Linked DNA regions of Drosophila melanogaster. The protein of the gene in region 1 interacts with the protein of each later gene in a pairwise test. Each region holds a gene or a part of one and is shown on either strand. Other genes may lie near its edges. The genes, in order: ric8a, Adk3 and CPT2.

Region 1 (6,293 bases):
GCGGCGGCGTTGGCGTGAGTATCCTCTAAGCATATCCTTAGTGGTCTTTCTCTTAATTACCTGCCCTACCAGGTGACGGTGGCCAATGGTTTCCTGTACGCCTTGGGTGGCCACGACTGTCCGGCCAGCAATCCAATGGTCTGCCGCACGGAGACGGTGGAGCGCTACGACCCAGCCACCGATACCTGGACTCTGGTAAGCTGGGATTGGGTTATGTGGTTCCCTCAACCTCATCCTCACTTCTAATCGATGTCATCTCATTCCACAGATCTGCTCACTGGCTTTGGGCCGGGACGCGATCGGCTGTGCCCTGCTGGGCGATCGCCTGATCGTCGTCGGCGGCTACGATGGCAATCATGCGCTGAAGAGCGTCGAGGAGTACGACCCGGTGCGCAATGGATGGAACGAGCTGGCGCCCATGGCTTTCGCAAGGGCCGGCGCCTGTGTGGTGGCGATTCCGAATGTCATACCGCCGGCGGCTCAACAGCCGCCGCCCAGTGCTACAGTTTAGTCCAAACCCAATCCACTTTCGGTTGCAGTGTAGGCTCGTTAATTGCATCGCTTATTTCGGATAGAAGGGCCAGATGTTTGGAAACGATTTGCATTTAGCACCCAGCCAAATTTATACGCGAAATTCCTATTAGATACCCATTATTTGGGTAGAGCTTTATAAATTGCATTTAATGTTAGTAAATTTGTCAAGATGTTTCGCTCGGCAGTTAATGCTGCACACAAACTGTAGATTTTATACCTTTCTTGCATTAATCTTAAAAATCCAAACATTCCACGTTTACAAAAGATATTTTCCCAAATTTACCAGTTCATGTAAAGCATTTCCATTTACTTGTAGATATTAAGGAACTTTAGGAGGCAATAATCAAAAGTAGTTTTATAAGTAGCGTGGTCTGAAAGCGATGCACTTAGCGAGAGAGCACTGCACCCGTTCTATAGTAGTTGTTGTTACTGTTGCTGTGAGCTGCTCGTGGTTGTTGCTCGTGTTTCCTAACCCGGCAAGTTTGAAACTGCAGCTCACCTTCGCCTCGCCTCGCTCTCGTCTGTGTTCTGACATGATTCCCTGTGGTATGGCATACACCCAGAACTCACCCACTTTCCGCACCGCACACCCCAACCCAGTATTTTCCCCATAACTCTGCTCTTTTCGGCTTGAATCTAAAAATAAGTAAATCAAAAAAAAAATAAAAAAATCAGTGAAATCTCATAGGATTTAAGAAGTGCATGTTGCGAGGCTTCCAGTTCCAATCTAAAATCGATCCCTAGCTGTAATTAACCAACGTATTTTACACGATACCCTAGTTTCTAAAAATTTTCCATCCCACTCACACCCCATGGTGTCGTACGCTTCACACACTGCACGCCATCTCGCTCGCACCGGTGACGGGCCCACATTCCATATGCATAAATCGTATACACATACTTATATCCTGACAAGACTGCGCCAAGCCAAAATTCCAAAAACCAAAATTGCTCATTTTTGCATGTGAAGTGTGCGAAACCATTAGAAAAACAAAACAAACAAAATCAAAAAAAAAAAAAACGAACGAAAACAATCAAAAAGACAACTGCAATTGCTTAGTTTTAGTTAGTAAATACTTGTCCCATGGAATGATTATATTTCGACTTTTGCATCGTCATTTTGTACCGATATTATTCTTAGTAAATACTAGATGTGTGTGTGCGTACAGCGAGCATTTATTTCTAATTGTTTATTATGTTTTTATTTCTTTCTTTTCCCTTTCCCTTCGATTGCATTTAAAAATTAAAGAAAAAGAAGAAGTGGAAGCCAGTGAGATTGGATCCAATCTGCTATAATAGGCGTCCCAGATGTGTCGAGTTTGTCGACTACTATAACATGTAAATGCTAGACAGACAAGACAACAAACAAAGCAAACTATAAACATTTAAGCCAAGCTAAAAGAAAAAACACAAGAAAACTTGTCAAAAAAAAAAAAAAACAATCCAAATATTACGTATTATTTTATATTTACACATATATATATTTTTACACAAAACATACACTGCGAAATGTATACACTGGATATGTATTTTTTGTAATAAAATCGAAAATTAAACGGTTATTCGCTGCATTTGAAAAACCGAACATATAAAATAATACTATTTTGTCGGTTAAGCGGGGATTGCTCTTTTAAATGGGTAACTTCAAGTTTCTTGATTGTATTTAAATATTTGAAATAATATATTTAAATTATCTAACTTTCTGATTGGAATACGATTTTTTTTAGAATATTAGTGGTAAGGGCGTACCGATAGTTGGCATTCGATGGTTGAGATATCTGGCAACGCCCCGTAGTATATTAGATTAGAACGGCAAAGGTGCGGTCACACTGGCGGAAATTATAAAAATTAATTAAATTAACTTAAACGACCTAAAAAGCGAACTCAACGACAGCTTTGAACGGCCACCGTTGGCGACATGGAAACGGAGCACCTGAAACGACTAGAGGCCAAGGAGGCGGACCACATTCCCGCCATCCTGGACGAATTCAACACAAAGGTGAGCACTGCCAGCGGTTTCTCCCGAAGATTCAACCAGATTATATACCCTTCCTTCTGCCGTAGAATGCGGATCTGCTGGTCTTCGACAGTTTCCGCACAGACAACCTGTGGCACGAACTGTGGCTGGCCATCTTCGGCATATTGGACGACCAGCGGCTTAGTCATCTGCATACGCAGTGCCTGAACACGGTGAGGATTCTAACGCGTGACGAGTTCAGCCTGCAGACGAACTACATCGAACAGGAGGTTAACACCCTGCTGAAGCTGGCTAGGATTGAGGCCGGCTCACTAAAGCTGCCAGCCACGCCGGACGAGCTTAAACAGGAGGAACGCGAGGAGCCCCAGCTGGAGCCCAGCCAGGCCCAATCGGAGGTGATTGCCGAAGCACTTAAGTGTCTGTGCAACTTGGTCTACCAGAGCTCCGACTGCAGGCGCCAGTGCCTGCGGCAACACTGCCTGGATGCAATCCTGAAGAGGGTGGCGTCCTCGATGCGACATCCCTGTGCGTTGGAGTACTACGACATGAAGCTCCTCTTCTTGCTCACTGCATTAGAGCCAGCGGCGCGCTCTCGCCTCCAAATCGATCTGAATGGCCTCACCTACATGACTAAGTGGCTGGACGACAAGCTGGGCGAAGACTCAGTTGGCGAGGAGCAGCTGAACATCATCTGCGAACTGCTCAAGGTGATGTTCAACGTGACCAGTGCTCCGGACAAGAGCCCCAACGAATACGAAATCCAGAGCTTGCATTTGACGGGAGTGCTGAGGGAGCTACTCCTGCGTTTCGGCGACTTGGCCACAGAAAAGGATCGCGCCGTCGTCACACACGCCATCAATCTGCTGACAAACATCTCCGGCAGCTGCCTGACAGAACTCACCCTGCGTTGCTCCAATGCCGAGTTGGAGTCGCACAAGGAAAGAGAGCAGGACAACGAGAAGGAAAAAGATACAGAAGCTGGAGCGGGAGCCAAACCCCGTGAGTGCTGCTCGCAGTGCTTCGAAAAGCGCAATGTTCGGAGTCTGGACGTGCTACTCCGCTACCTAAGGCAATCTCTGGCCCAACAGGAGGCCGAGGCTAGCTCGCATGAGTTGCTTTCCCCAGTGCTGACCGTGCTGGTGAAATGTGCGCGCAGCGATCGAGTTATGCGTCACTATCTACGCCAGGAGATTCTGCCGCCGCTGCGGGACGTTAGTCAACGACCTGAGGTTGGTCAGGAGCTGCGCAATCATCTGTGTCGGTTCCTTACACTGCCCGCGATGATCCTACGAGATCTGTCCGCCGAACTGCTGTTCGTACTGTGCAAAGAAAATGTCGGCAGGATGATCAAATATACGGGCTATGGCAACGCAGCCGGGCTCTTTGCCAAGCGGGGTATACTCGACTGCCGGCGAGTGGAGGGCACCGACTACTCCTCCGACAGCGAGGACAGCGACACCGAGGAGTACAAGCAGCAGCAGCAGGGCATCAATCCAGTCCTTGGCTGCGTAGAGCCGCGCAGCAAGTCGCATCTGGACGACATAAGCGAAGAGCAGAAGGAATACGAGGCTATGCAGCTGGTCAATCTCATCGAACAGCTGCGTCAGGGCGGGATCGTAAAGCCGGCGATGATAGACAAGGACGGGCGCCCGCAGCCGCTGGAACACATCCTTCAGCTGCAGGAGGAGCTGCCGCAGCAGCAGCTCGACCAGAAGCGGAAAACCTAAGCCACAAATGTATTGCGGGATCTGCTATGGCACAACTTCCAAATAGCTACCAAAAAATCACCTTAAACTCTGCATTTATTCCATAAGTTTACTGTCGAATGTAGCTTCGAATGTGTTCAAAAAGCAGATTTTTTTTTTTACATAGTTTATATATTTTATACCACATATTCGAGAACATCTCATTATAACCTACAATTTGTTAACCAAAAATTATCCAATCTGGCTTTGATTTCAGTGATCAGCTTTTGTCTAAATGCCATTATTATTAGTGTTAGCTAAAATAATTATAATCTATCCAATTAGCTTCAATTCGTAGATAAGTTCGGTCTCCCAACTTTTACAGAATTTCTTTAACCATTAACCATGTAGAACGTTGTACTTATTAAGTTATTACGCACTTCGTTGTTATTTTGTTGTCCCGTGAATTGTTCGCACTTTTAAAGTTGATACCATGGCATCCCATAACGTACGGCTTGAAAAAAATAACTAAATGCAAAACAATCGTTGGGGTCTTCCAATTTCAGGAAGTAGGGAGCAGATGAACATCAAATCTGAATTCATTTAAATACACGCCCACACTATAGGACAACTAGGACGACTTTTCATTTTAATAGTTAAGTGCATGTATGTATTATATTTATAAAATTCCAATTATACACTTAGGATCTAGGAATGAAAGCTCTTATTCCGATTCTCAGTTTTCTATTACAAATGATGTTGCATGTGTGTAACACTAACTATAGCTCTAGAATCGAACTAAACGAACTACAAAGTCTATCTATGACAGACGGCAGTGAGGAGCACTTGAAGAGCCATCAAGTTGTGGATGTCGACACGGCCATGCAACCAACTATCCCATCCGCACATTGTTCATGTCCATGTCTAATCTATGTTGTAAATTCCGCATAATAGGGTAAAGGAATAATTCCAAAACTTTCTAAAAGTTACGTGTCTTTGATCTATATACAAGAAATCCTATCTAGAGCTTTATTGTGTTCAATTTGCTATAGCGATGATACTAGTAGATCAACTTATATACATCAAAACATAGTAATATTTTTTGTGCGAGTCTAAATGTACGGCTATCCTAAGCTTAACAATAAAATAAATCAATCAAGGTCATGCTATAATAATCAAGCCACATATTTTCCGATTCATAATGCTTTGAAACTAAATTTTAATTATTAATATTGAATCAGAGTTATAAGGATCGACTCCTCTCCGGCGAGGAGTCCGCCTCTTGAATGTCGCCCTCCATGGGCCTCATGTGATCGAAGCGAGCAATGTAGCTGGGTTTGTGGTGGCGATGGCGGCACGCCTTGTGGCAGTCATTTGGGATTTCTTCTTGGTCATTCTGTTCCAATTTTCGGCGATACTTTTCCTCCTCCCTGCGCTCATCCAACCAAAACAGCTCGTATATGCGGTCGTGCCGCTGGAGTTCATTCGCTCGCTCCAGATCTTTTTCCTTCTGCTTCGGGGGGGTGTATTTGAGAAAGTAGTCGGCATACTTGCTGTCGTTGTCCCGCCCCGGGGAATGCACCGGCTCCGATCCGATCAGCTTTATCGAGTCATTCTGCTGATCCTTCGACAACGATTCATCCGCCTTCTTTTCAGTATGCCCACACACCTTTTCTTCTATCTTCAAGGGTTCGCTCTCCGCCTCAATGCGGCGGCACTGGTTCTCCTTTAGCTTGAGCTCCCGGTTAATCTGCCGCCTTTCCTCCCTCTGCAAAATCTCCATCTGCTGGCGATGCTCCGCTTCTGAGGGAAACCTATCCCTTGTGAAGTAGAACATGCTATGGTGTCTCTCTTTGGGTTTCTTCTCTTGGCACGTCTTGTTTGAGTAGCGATTCTTTGGAATCATACAAGAGTCCCATTGTATCATCCTTGAAGGGCTATCTTTGATGTTGTCCTTCTGGGTCTGAATCGCAGTTTGAACATGGGCCTTCGCTTCGGTATGGAATTTACGTTGAGACTGTGCCTGCGATTGCACTTTGCTTTTCTTCTGGCGAGCCGCGGCTGCCGCGGCCGCCACGGCAGCCAATTCCCGTTGG
Region 2 (6,157 bases), on another chromosome or scaffold:
TCCGCGCTGCACATTCGGCACGTGGGAACGTGTCGGAATCGCCAGTCGAGATCGCCACTGAGTTTTATCAATTGAACCCGAGAACTACGCCATCCGGCGGAATTTCCAGCTCGCTTCTCCTAAGGGGTTCAACTACCGCTGGCCGTGCACTTTAGTAATTAATTATTACTTTAATCGCCGAATCAGCATAGGTTCGCAGGTTTTGTTAAGGCTATAAATAGCACCTGAAAATCGATGCCTACATATGTATGTACATACATACATACATGTGTTTTGGTTTTTTGGAGTTGAACAAACTGCTGAGCGTGCAGCGTAGAATTGAAAACAATTCCTGGGCAGCTGCAGCATGTAATTCAGCAAGATTTACGACAAAAAAAGTAAAAAGCTATGAAAAGTATACAACCCTAAAGAAGGCAAAATAAGAAGGGTTATATTTAGGTTAAGATCACTTGTTTTCATCTGTGCATCTGGGCAGGTGATATGTTTAACTCAACCCAACCAAGCTGATAGTCAGCCCATGATCATAACAATAACATATGTATGTAAATATGTACATATATATGTGCATGCAATTTGAAGAAGCTTCTGGTCTTTCAATAACATACTACTATGATTAAGAGTAGGGTGATTCGAATTACTGACCTATGCATGTATTTAGACCCGAAAACATAAACAACTGTCGTGCTTATGAGGGGCATACCTGTAGTAAGTGGATCAGCCGCGGAAGTGCTGAAAGTTGGAAATCGCCGACTCAGCTACGAATTTGCGCGCCAAATTCGCCTCGAAAGTGGCCAATGAACCGCGGAAATGCAGTGGCATTTTGGGGGTTTTCTAGCTAAAACCGGACAGACATCATTGGTCATCTGTTCGCCCAATACTTGTAATTATGAAAATATCATTATAAAAAGCATATTTTATATTTGTTATGCTTAATAATTGACCCATTCATAAAAATTATACGCATATACGCAAATTATACTAATCGTAGTACTTAAAAATTGCTTATTTTACCGTTTCTAACCCCATGTGATATTTTTCAAGATAATCATACTAGTGAGTACCATTTTAGCTTGTTTTATAACAAATATGCATATCTATTACTTAAATACGCATTTGCAGTGACAGAAAATAAAACTATTGCCTTGTCATTCCAGCGCGGAATTCGAGTTGTCACAAGTGCATAAAGGGCACCACTACAGCATTTTCTATTGCTGCGGCGAACGTGCGGATTAGAAGTTTTGGTTCTTCATCCAGCTTGATCCGCACGTCACAATCGAACCCAAGGAATTCAGATATTTTTAGCCTTTTGCGTGGGACTTCAATGGCACCTCTGCCCGTTGCTTTTGTGTGCCATGCCACCCAGTTGTGTGTGCAACATGCGCCCATCACATGTGAAGCCACCACATTGGATGGATTTCATTGCTGGCTTATTTCGAGGGAGAATCGTGGAGCCCACGGAGTGATCGGGCATGGATCGGAGGCACTTCGCCGGCGGTTGCCCCACTGCTGAGTCACGCCGGCGCAGCACTAAACTGGGCCCAAACCCAAACCGAAACCCAAATGCCAAGCGAAGAGCCAAATGAGTCAAAGAGTCAAAAGAGAGTGGGAACTGGTTTTTGAAGAGTTCCCCCACATTCGGCATTCGGCTATCGGCATTCCATTTTAGGCCGGTCCAAAGTCCGCAAGTCTGAGTACCTGCAACCGGTCACCAAGCCACCATGAATGGCCGATGAATGCCGCCCGAATCCTCACGTGCACCAGCATCACGCTGGAAAACGAGATATCTCGCGCCGGCGTGGAGGTCTCCAAGGTGCAATTTTGTATGCAGTGCGGCTATGCTGGGGGATTTCCCATTTGGCTGCGATTGGCTGCAGGGAAAACCCAGTTTCCAAAAGAGTTCTCTGCGAAAAACCCCCAATGCAGTGCAGTTTATTTTTTCGATGCGTGGTTTTTCCCACTCCAAACCAGATACCATAATGTATTCTCTTATTTATCGTGGGGCTTTTGGCAAGGGAGTTTCGGTTATCTGAGCGAGCAACGTTCTTTCCAAATAATTAGGTCTTGTCTCGCATTAAATAATATTGCGAAACATTTGGCAGCGCCTTTCGAATAATGGCGAAATGATTCAGCTGCTCGCTGGTGGGCAGATGTACATCACTTGCAGGGCTGAATTCTTTGCACGATGGTAAACTTGTTTTGAGAACCTGGTGAAATTAAAAAAAAAGGAGGGCAAACAAAGCTGAAACTGAAAGAAAGCCATAACATTTCCGCAAAATGTGTGTATTTCGTTATATATTCCAATTGTAAGGTTCTCTACTTTTTAAAGAGTTGTTACTAGAGCTCAGGTAATTTCAATGTATATGTTTACAGATACTTCGATTTTTATTTATTTACAAAGAAAATTTTTAAAATTTCTATCTGACATAACCGGTTCGATTTGTTCGCGCCGGATGACAGCTCTGTCAAGTTCTCTCTGGCTCTTTCGATTCCTAAGCTTTTACCCGATTAGTGCTTTTTTCGCCGGCAGAGCTTTTCTTGCACTCAATTATGCTTCTTCTTCCCTGTAAACAAAACACGCTCACAGCTGTTTCTTCCGCACTGAAGTGTTGGCAAACGTCTGAATATTACACGCAATATTTATGTAATACGCTAAACAATTAAGTCGCATAAATTATAAAATAGTCATTAGGGATAACTCGATGGCATTTGTGGAGCGCGACTTTGAGTCACCATAGTGCCGCCGCCAAGTACGATAGCCACAATCTGAGCGCCAGCGCAGTGCCAAAAGCTCTGTGTTGTTGAAAAACTCGACAAAGTCAAAAAAGTCGAAAAAGTCAAGCTGCTCTTTGTAGGCCGCTCGATACAAAGGTAAAAAGAAGTTGGCCCAAACAAATTGCCCGAAATGGGAAAAAACAAATCGAGCACGCTGGCGAGAGCGAGATAAAAACACCGGGACAAACCGGCCCGAGCGTTCAGTTCTGTGCCGGACGACAAAAGCGGCGGATCACTGTTGGATTTCATTTCATCCGGAGCACTTGCGAATAGAACGCGAAAGTCCCGAGCAAGCGTTAGTTTTTGCATACAATGGAGTACCTGAGCTACGTGTACGAAAAAATCTTCGGGGGCAATCCTCCCACGGATGACACGCAAGGGGCTTTCCACACGTGAGTATCAGCAGTAGCAGCTGAGGCGGAAAAACCCGGCAGAAAACACCTCTGACCATTGGGCTTTCCCACTTTCAGGCCCCGCAAGGTCATCTGCTTCGGCAACGTCCTGCTCGACCGACTAGTCCAGCTCGAGGATCCCCAACTCCTGGAGCGGTTCGGCCTGGAACTGGGCTCCAAGGGTGAACTGGACATGGAGAAACTCAACCAGCTGGCAGCGGAGGCTTCTGAGAGGTGAGTACCTTTGTATCTTGCCCGATTGTTTCATTATCTTCAATGACTGATTGTAAGAAATTGTACAATTGGACCCAAGTTATGGTTTTTAGTTAGACTGATTTTACATATAAGTAGTATAGTTAAGGTCTTGCAAGTATAATTAGTATCACCTTTCAAAGAAATTGTGAAAAGATACAAAGAATGAACAACAAATAGGACTGGGGCTACAAAGGCTGTTTATACATAGCACTTTTGTACACAACAATCAATCTTTACTTAAGAAGTTAAGAAGGGCCTTCTTTCTAATCTCTAATGACAGCAAAACTGGTTTTTATACCTGTACGAAATCGTCTTACGAAGTAGGAAATGGAAAATGGCAAAGTTACACGGTTATTCTAAAATTACAAGGGTTTAGTTAGTAACTACATACATACATAATAAACAACCTTTGCAAAGCTATACTTACTAATCCGAGTTCAATCCAATTCAGCTCTCGGTGCCTTACAAACCCGGGTGGCTCTGCCCTCAACACTGCCCGCATCCTGAAGCAGCTGGGCACAGACGCGCTCTTCTTTGGCGCCGTGGGAGCCGACAAGCACGCCGAGGAGCTGCGCCAGATCATTCGGGATCGCGGCATCGAGGCCAGGCTGCAGACCGTCGAGGATGCGCACACAGGGCAGTGCGTGTGCCTCATGTATCAGGACAACCCCACGCTGTACGCCAACATCGGCGCCTCGGCTCAGTTCGAGGTGCAGACCCTGAGCCACGCCGTCAGCCACGAAGGCCAGAGCTTCCTGCGACCGGTGGAGCGCAAGCAAATCCTGTACGTGGAGGGCTTCTTTGTGCCCCAGAGGAGTGATGTGTGCGATTACATAGTGCAGCACCTGGTGCGGGAGCGGCGACGCCTGGCTCTCAATCTCAGTGCACCCTACATTGTGAGGAAAAATCACCAGGCTATGATGAAGCTGGCCCGGGCCGCCTTCTTCCTGTTCGGAAACCGACAGGAGTTCGAGGCGCTGGCCGAGGCTGCGGGTGGGTTCCGAAACGTCGACGAACTGGCGGATCATCTCCTGCAATCCGGTGGCACCAAGGTCATCTTCGTCACCAACGGCAGTGCCGGCGTCCAGGTGATCACCAACTACGTGGAGGAGCTGGCTCCTCCCGGACCCGTAAGCTTTGAGGACTTCAGGGCGCAGCGCGTAGAGCAGCTGGTGGATGCCACTGGGGCCGGAGATGCTTTTGTGGCCGGATTCTTGCACGCCTGGCTGGAGAAGCGCTCGCTGGGCGAGTGCATCCGAATGGCCTCCAGCGTAGCCGCCAAGGTCGTCACCCAGGTGGGCTGCAATCTGCCCTAGACCGACGCCGTGCATCGCCACCTCAGATAGCGCACAACAAAGCACCAAAGTAGACTCTTAGCTTGTAATTATTCCGGTAATCTCCCCAAACCTTAGGCTTAGTCAAACATTTGTCCACCATTTCACCCAAGCAATGAACTTAGTCATAATGTGACTAAATAAAAATGATTTATACATCGTCCTATGAAAGATAATAATATTTCTGAGTGACTATATGTGACTACATTTTATAATATATATAGCGAGATTCCTATTGTATGCAATTTTTTAACATTTAAATATCTTTTGATAGTTCTATGTAAACAGATGTTGCTTTCTCAAAAGACAAAACAGATTTATCTAAAACCAGTACATATGTATCTATTTGTAGCACATTGCCATTAAGAATTTGCGTTGACCTTCAGAAGAGCGCAAAGATAAAAAGTGAAATAGGGTAAAATGTGCCCACGTCTAATCAAGCCATGCCATGAAATCACCGGAAGACTCTTTTTAATGGTTAAATATAGATTCGAGAGCATTGTTTTGCGCACAGTGGGTTGAATGCTTACAAATTATTAATTTCGCTGTAATACTTTCTTAGATATACCATTATTCATACTTCATTATTTGAGCAAACATAAGTAAATCATTTTTGACACAGGCCGTCGTTATTTAGGTATACCTTTATATGTAAAATCACGTATTAATTATTCATTAAGAAATGAGAGCATATATATAAAAAAGTAAGTACAGCTGGTGATTGTTCGACCTCGATAGCCTTATTAATACGACTGTGTTATTCACTCGATCGCCGAAGTTCCCACTGGACTGTGGCATTGTGTGAATCGTCATCCGAATCCGTTATCACACACTTAATTCCCCCTGAGATGCCCTAGTACACATCTTTATGCGCATTCCTCGAGATGCTTTATTATCCGCAAAGAAGCGATTCTCGTTTCATCCATCTTATATGGACCGCGTACATCCCACACAAGTCAGTCAATAAGTGACGACTTGGCCCAAAGAGAACTCGCATGCACAGATGCCATCAAAGCGAATTCCGCCTTTGTGCTGGCCGTGGGGTTTGGCTTGGGGTTTGGGCCACATGTTTGCGAATCGTTAACAAAAACTAAGCCGCATTTGGCATGCTTGTGTAAGCAGGCCAAGGCCTGGGCCTCTCCCAGCTGCTGCCGGAGGAGGAGTTGTGGACGGGAAGCTCTCGAAACCATAAAGAAGTCCGGGCTTAGGCCGAAAGCAATTCCGCACTTTAAAGGCCAATTCCCGGATCAGCGTAGTGAGCTGGCTAATTGGCAAGGAGCCGCTTAAGAGAGCCAAGTGGCAGTGGCAAAGTCAATATTGACACACCCACCCACCTAATCGAGTGTATCGGGGTTTTGGTGTCCCACCTACTTAAGTCTCAGCACTCGCCCTGTTAATTACTCG
Region 3 (5,585 bases), on another chromosome or scaffold:
GAAAAGTATTCAATAAATTGAAATTAAAATAAGGCATTGCTAGTGTGTGGCAGAATAATAAATAAATCCTAATTAGTAAGCACAATTAACTTTTAGTATGTGCTTATTGGAATGTATTGCAATAAAAATAAAAGAACACATGTTATATAAATTGCACTAAATAATGGTTAGGCTATCCTTATGCCTATTTAAATATTTTAAAGGTAGCATAAACTCCAACACCTCGACCATCGCATTCCCATTCTACAGTGCAACCTCCTACAGTGAGGCCTGAGTTATTGCCTCCATTTCTTTGGGGCTGTCAACGCGGCCATTTGAGAGCTATCTCCGTTCTTCATGGCCATGTCAATGATTTGCTCGACTGGAATGCGGCATTTTTGCTGAGCCATCTATGCAAATCTCCGTTTGTCCGAAGGTCGACCAAACCCAAACCCAAGCCCATTTGCCATTGTCATCATGGGGCAAATGGAATTTGCCAGTTAACTCTTCCATCTGGTCACCTCGTGCTTTTGCCTGATTTTTACGCAGTTGTCAACCCGTCGAAAGCGACTTATTCGCCACACCTTTCAGGTGCAGAAAGACAGGAAGGAAGGAAGGATTCGAATCTGGATCCCCAGTCACGCTGTGCGTGCTAGAATGGTCAACAGTTTTATTGTCCGGCAAAGGACTCTGGAAACAAATGTTGATTTCTGCGCACAGAAAAGAAAAGGATTTTTTAGAGGTTTTTTATGTGTTTTCGCATCTGGCGGCGACAGTTGAAATTTTATACTACCGTTGGTTGTTAATGAGTGTCGAGATTGTATGCTTTTTAAACACATTCAAGGGTCCTTGAATAGATTTTGTTATTAACGGCGAAAAAAGTGGAAAAAATATGTCACAAAAGAGCGCCTTTAAATCTAACTTTGTGTTTACATTTTATATCAAAAACATTAATTCAATCTGTGCTAGTATGCAACATATTTCATTTAATTTTATTTATTTATTTTTCTTTCCAATTGAAGTCCTTTATCCCACCAGTTATTTAAAGTCGCAGTTGGTCTTTAAAATGCGCGGGGCAATGGCAAAGCAATTACCCATCGATTTGTTCGATTCGGAGGCGCTCAAGTGCTTAAGCGTCCTTTCACCTTTTTGGCAATGGCATCCTGGCGATTTTGGTCCGTGGATAAACAGCGTTTTGTTTGCATTTGCGTGGCGTTTATTTGTTTGCCCGCTGTTGATGTCTGCTGGTCGAGGAGCTTGGAGCTTGGACGACGAGGGTTTCCCGGGGAAGAAACAGATCTTCGGAGGGGTCAGGACATCTTGCAGACGTGGTGGGTCAAAGGCTCCTGCGGGTATTCCAACCGGTCACTGTTCCCAGGTAAGTCGGAAAAAACACAAATGGTTTACTTAAATTACGGGGCTAAGAAAGAAATGAAAATGCGCATAAAATTTTTATACTTTGTCGAATTTCACGAGCGTTCCTTCCCATCGATTCATCTGTGCACTTTGCAGTCGACGCTTGCGGAATAAAATCCACTGCCCCTCAATTCCTCAAATTAAGTAAAGTGAGTAGGGGAATCCCCTTTTCCATTTAAATTTGCATAAGAGGCATCGGCGAAAGCGGATGAGGATGCGGATGGGTTGCAGTGTAATTGGGCGAAGTGAAATTGCGTTAATATTTAACAAGCCAGCGAAAGTGCAAAAGCGAAGCGCATTAAATGCGGAAAAGGGATACGGAAACGTAGTCCTTCGGGGCAAAGTGCGAAATTATGCGGAGTTCAGGGAGATCCGCAAGCCCTTTCCTTTGCGAGCACGGACCTCAAATGTTAAATGTTAGCCATAAGGTCAGCCAAATGTGAAACTCGAGCCGTGAAAGCGAAATGTTTGACCGCGAAGAGCAGCGCTGATTTTGAGTGGTAATTTCATTTCTCATTATCGTCGTTATGGTAATTCAATAAAATCATGACAATTCAAAATTTCGTGCCCGGCATGCGATTGGAATCTGATTATTGCAAATTCAATTTATAGTGCTATAAATATAAAAAATTTACAAAAGATATTAAACATGAATTTTAACCCATATAATATAGTACAGTTATACATAATAATAATAAAATCCGCAAAGATCTATTTATCGTAAATTTCAAACATATACGATATTCAAATATTTTGGCGCCATTACAGGTACTGAAAAATACCAAAAATACCGTAAGGTAACTATCGATGACGGCGATCAGCTGTGATCATCAATGGCGAACAGCTGATCTGGCTCGCGAATTTTCATCTTGTTGTTGGACTTTCTGTTGTGGACTTTGAAACGTCGCCTCTCGAGTTTAAACAACAAAAGTTACTCAATTTGGAAAGCCATCGAGTGGATAGCCATGTTTCGGACCCGGGTGCACCGCAATCTGTCGTGGATATCGACGAACTCGTCGAGGACAACGACCACTCATGGCCAGCACTACCAATACCTGCAATGTTCCAAGCTGCCAACGCTGTACTTTCAGCGCTCCTTGCCGCGATTGCCCATTCCTCTGTTGGAGAACAGCTGTCGGCGTTTCCTGGAGGCCACCAAGCCACTACTCTCGCCGGCGGAGCAGGCGCAGACCCAGCAAACGGTGGAACAGTTTCGCCAGGGGATCGGCATGGAACTACACGCGAAACTCAAGAGCCATGATGCAGAGAACAAGCATACCAGCTACATCTCGCAGCCCTGGTTCGACATGTATCTAGCCGATCGAGCGCCCCTGCCACTCAACTATAATCCGCTGCTGGTGATGAAAAGCGACGCGCGACCGGAGTACCAGCAACAGGTGGTTAGGGCTACCAACCTGATCATCAGCTCGTTACGGTTCTGGCGATCTCTGCAGGCGGATCTCCTGGAGCCGGAGGTGTACCACATGAACGCCAAGAAGAGCGACACTTCCAGCTACCGCAGGTGGATGAAGGTGGCTCCCAAAGCCTTTGCCACCTACGCGTCTTATGCCTTCAAGGCCTTTCCGCTGGACATGAGCCAGTACAACCGGTTGTTTGGCACCTCTAGGATTCCTAGGATCGGCAAGGACGAGCTGGTCCAGTCACCGGACGCCAAGCACATTCTGGTTATGCGCCGCGGTCACATGTACGCCGTAAATGTGCTGGACTCCAGTGGATACATCGAGAGTCCCAGTGTGATTCTGGGCAGACTAAGGGCTGTGCTTAAGCTTGATGCAGATCGCGAGGCAGCCAGCGTGCCACTTGGTGTTCTGACCTCCGGACAGCGTGATGAGTGGGCCAAGACAAGACAGCATTTTGTTAGCAACACCAAAAATGCCGATCTTCTGGAGAGAGAGGTGGATGCGGCTCTGTTCTGCGTTTGTCTGGATGGCGAAGAAGATGGAGTCTTTAACGAAAACCAGCAGGAGCCGCTGCTCAAGCATTTGCTGGCGGGAAAAGCGCAGAATCGGTAAGAAGTCGACATTATGTAAAGCCTGCCTGATTCACAAAATCATCCTGTTCTGTTACAGTTGGTTCGACAAATCCATTTCCCTGCTTATAAGTGCAGATGGAACAACGGCTATTAACTTCGAGCACTCGTGGGGCGATGGAGTGGCTGTGCTTCGCTACTTTAACGAGCTCTACAAGGATACTTTGAAGCAGCCGTTTGTATCCACGGAGACAGTGCACACTCCCGCCGAAGGCGATTTTAGCAACGTGCGGCCCATCAACTTCGAAATCGACGATGCCACCAAGTCGGCCGTTTCGGAGGCTTATAATAAAAACGCCAGCATTGTAGATAATCTGGACATGAATGTGCTGAAGTACCCACACATCAACAAGCCCACATGCAAGCAGTATGGCCTAAGTCCGGACTCCATCATTCAGCTGTCCTTCCAGCTGGCTTATCGCCAAGCCTACAGCGGCTATGTGGGCAGCTACGAATCCTGCAGCACATCCGCCTTCCGACACGGACGTACCGAAACGATGCGACCGTGCACAAATGCCACACGGGACTTCTGTGAAGCTATCCTCCAGCCGGAGAGGAGCAAGCCCAGCGCCGGAGAACTACGAGCAATGATCGACAATTGCAGCAAGGTGCATGGCCAGTTAACCAAGGAGGCGGCTATGGGCCAGGGCTTCGATCGGCATCTCTTTGCCCTTCGGCACACGGCCCAAAAGGAGGGAATACCAATTCCCGATCTCTATGAGACTGAGGCTTACAAGCGCATTAATAACAACATCATTAGTACCTCAACACTGGGTTCAGATGCCCTGCTAGCGGGTTCCTTTGGTCCGGTGGTCAAGAATGGCTTCGGAATCGGGTAAGCTGACTGCCTGTCGAGATTGGGTATTTGAATGTACAAATGCAGCACCTATTTTTCAAGTTGCCTCGACAAATTGTTCACTAGCTGACAGTTGATAACCCATTATTCTTTCAGCTATTCGATTCAGAACGATTTTGCCGGCGCCATTGTCACCACGTACAAAAACCAGGCCGATGGGAAGGTGTTCATAGACAGTCTGGAATCGGCATTTGATAAAATTTGCGCTGTCATCCAGCAGAGCAGCAGTAGCAAGAAGTAGGAGAAAATCGTGAGGAGTCCGACCCCGAATCCAATGAATATGGCTTTAACGTAACAGGGAGATTTATTTTGATGCTTTTACATTGTATCCCATGTGTCTGAATTGCAATATCTTTATCTACAATTTATAGATTATACACTGAAAACATTCTACCCCATCTAAAGCATCTGTGTCTTTGCTTTTATACCCGCTGCTTTAATGGCTTTTGCGGCTGATGGGATAATAAATTGGCTAACATATTGTTGGGATGCTGCTGGCTTGACATTTGCAATTGAATACGAGAAATAACTCACGTTTTAAAACAATGCTGAAAACAACTTTAAAGTAAAGAGTTTAAGAAGTTTATATTAAAATTGAACATAGAGTTATGATAAACGAGCTGAAGTAAAATCGAATAAGAGCGGTTGAAAGCATTTAAGATTATTTTGCGTAAGAAAATGTTTTTTTTTTAAGAAAACATCTTTCGATCCTTTGTTTTCCTAAGTAAAATCAACACACAGAACGATGTATGGCACAAACCCTTTTGAGTTGGTTTAACTATTGAGTCTCCTTTTAAGCATGCGTAAACTTTGACCTTTCATTGTCACTTAAGTTAAACAAGATGTGTGCCCACGCACACCCTGTTCCCAACTTGTTTATCCCGGAATAAGTGGGGGAAAAACCCTTGCATTAAACAGTTTCTGATTAAAGATTTCCCACACGCTGACCCAGAAAACTTGGCCACCAACCCTTCGGGCCAAGTTGTTGCCTTTCGATTTGTGTCAGCCGCACACGTCAATCGCGAACTCCGCCTAAACATGGCGAAAAGTTTATCAAAACGTTGCCTTTTTGGCTGGGAATGGGGATGTCGCTAAATGTGCTGACGTTATCAGTTGATTTATCGTCAAATTTTGTGCCAACTGGCGTGGCGTTGTAAAAATTAATTAACTTGCTCGCCGAGTCTTCCTGATACGTACACGATTCCGCCTTAATGGGCGGCATTAAAAATTAAAAAAGGAGACATTTACGCGGCGGAGAGGTCATTAAAGCCAAGTAGACTCTTC

Evidence for each region.
Region 2: the proteins of ric8a (region 1) and Adk3 interact in a two-hybrid assay, tested with the Drosophila melanogaster proteins (one large-scale study listed by BioGRID).
Region 3: the proteins of ric8a (region 1) and CPT2 interact in a two-hybrid assay, tested with the Drosophila melanogaster proteins (one large-scale study listed by BioGRID).

What each region holds. Positions count from the first base shown.
Region 1 is NC_004354.4:9,253,845-9,260,137, forward strand, and holds ric8a (ric8a), read left to right. Parts: upstream 1-2,323; 5' UTR 2,324-2,452; coding exon 2,453-2,533; intron 2,534-2,598; coding exon 2,599-4,239; 3' UTR 4,240-5,358; downstream 5,359-6,293. Other genes in the region: CG17754 (uncharacterized protein), read left to right, coding at 1-14, 73-195, 269-505, 1,784-1,876. UniProt on the Drosophila melanogaster protein: Chaperone that specifically binds and folds some, but not all, nascent G alpha proteins prior to G protein heterotrimer formation, promoting their stability and activity.
Region 2 is NT_033778.4:7,242,229-7,248,385, reverse strand, and holds Adk3 (adenosine kinase 3), read left to right. Parts: upstream 1-2,609; 5' UTR 2,610-3,084; coding exon 3,085-3,164; intron 3,165-3,242; coding exon 3,243-3,398; intron 3,399-3,870; coding exon 3,871-4,735; 3' UTR 4,736-5,362; downstream 5,363-6,157.
Region 3 is NT_037436.4:2,978,763-2,984,347, forward strand, and holds CPT2 (carnitine palmitoyltransferase 2), read left to right. Parts: upstream 1-2,259; 5' UTR 2,260-2,360; coding exon 2,361-3,424; intron 3,425-3,485; coding exon 3,486-4,280; intron 4,281-4,397; coding exon 4,398-4,542; 3' UTR 4,543-4,789; downstream 4,790-5,585.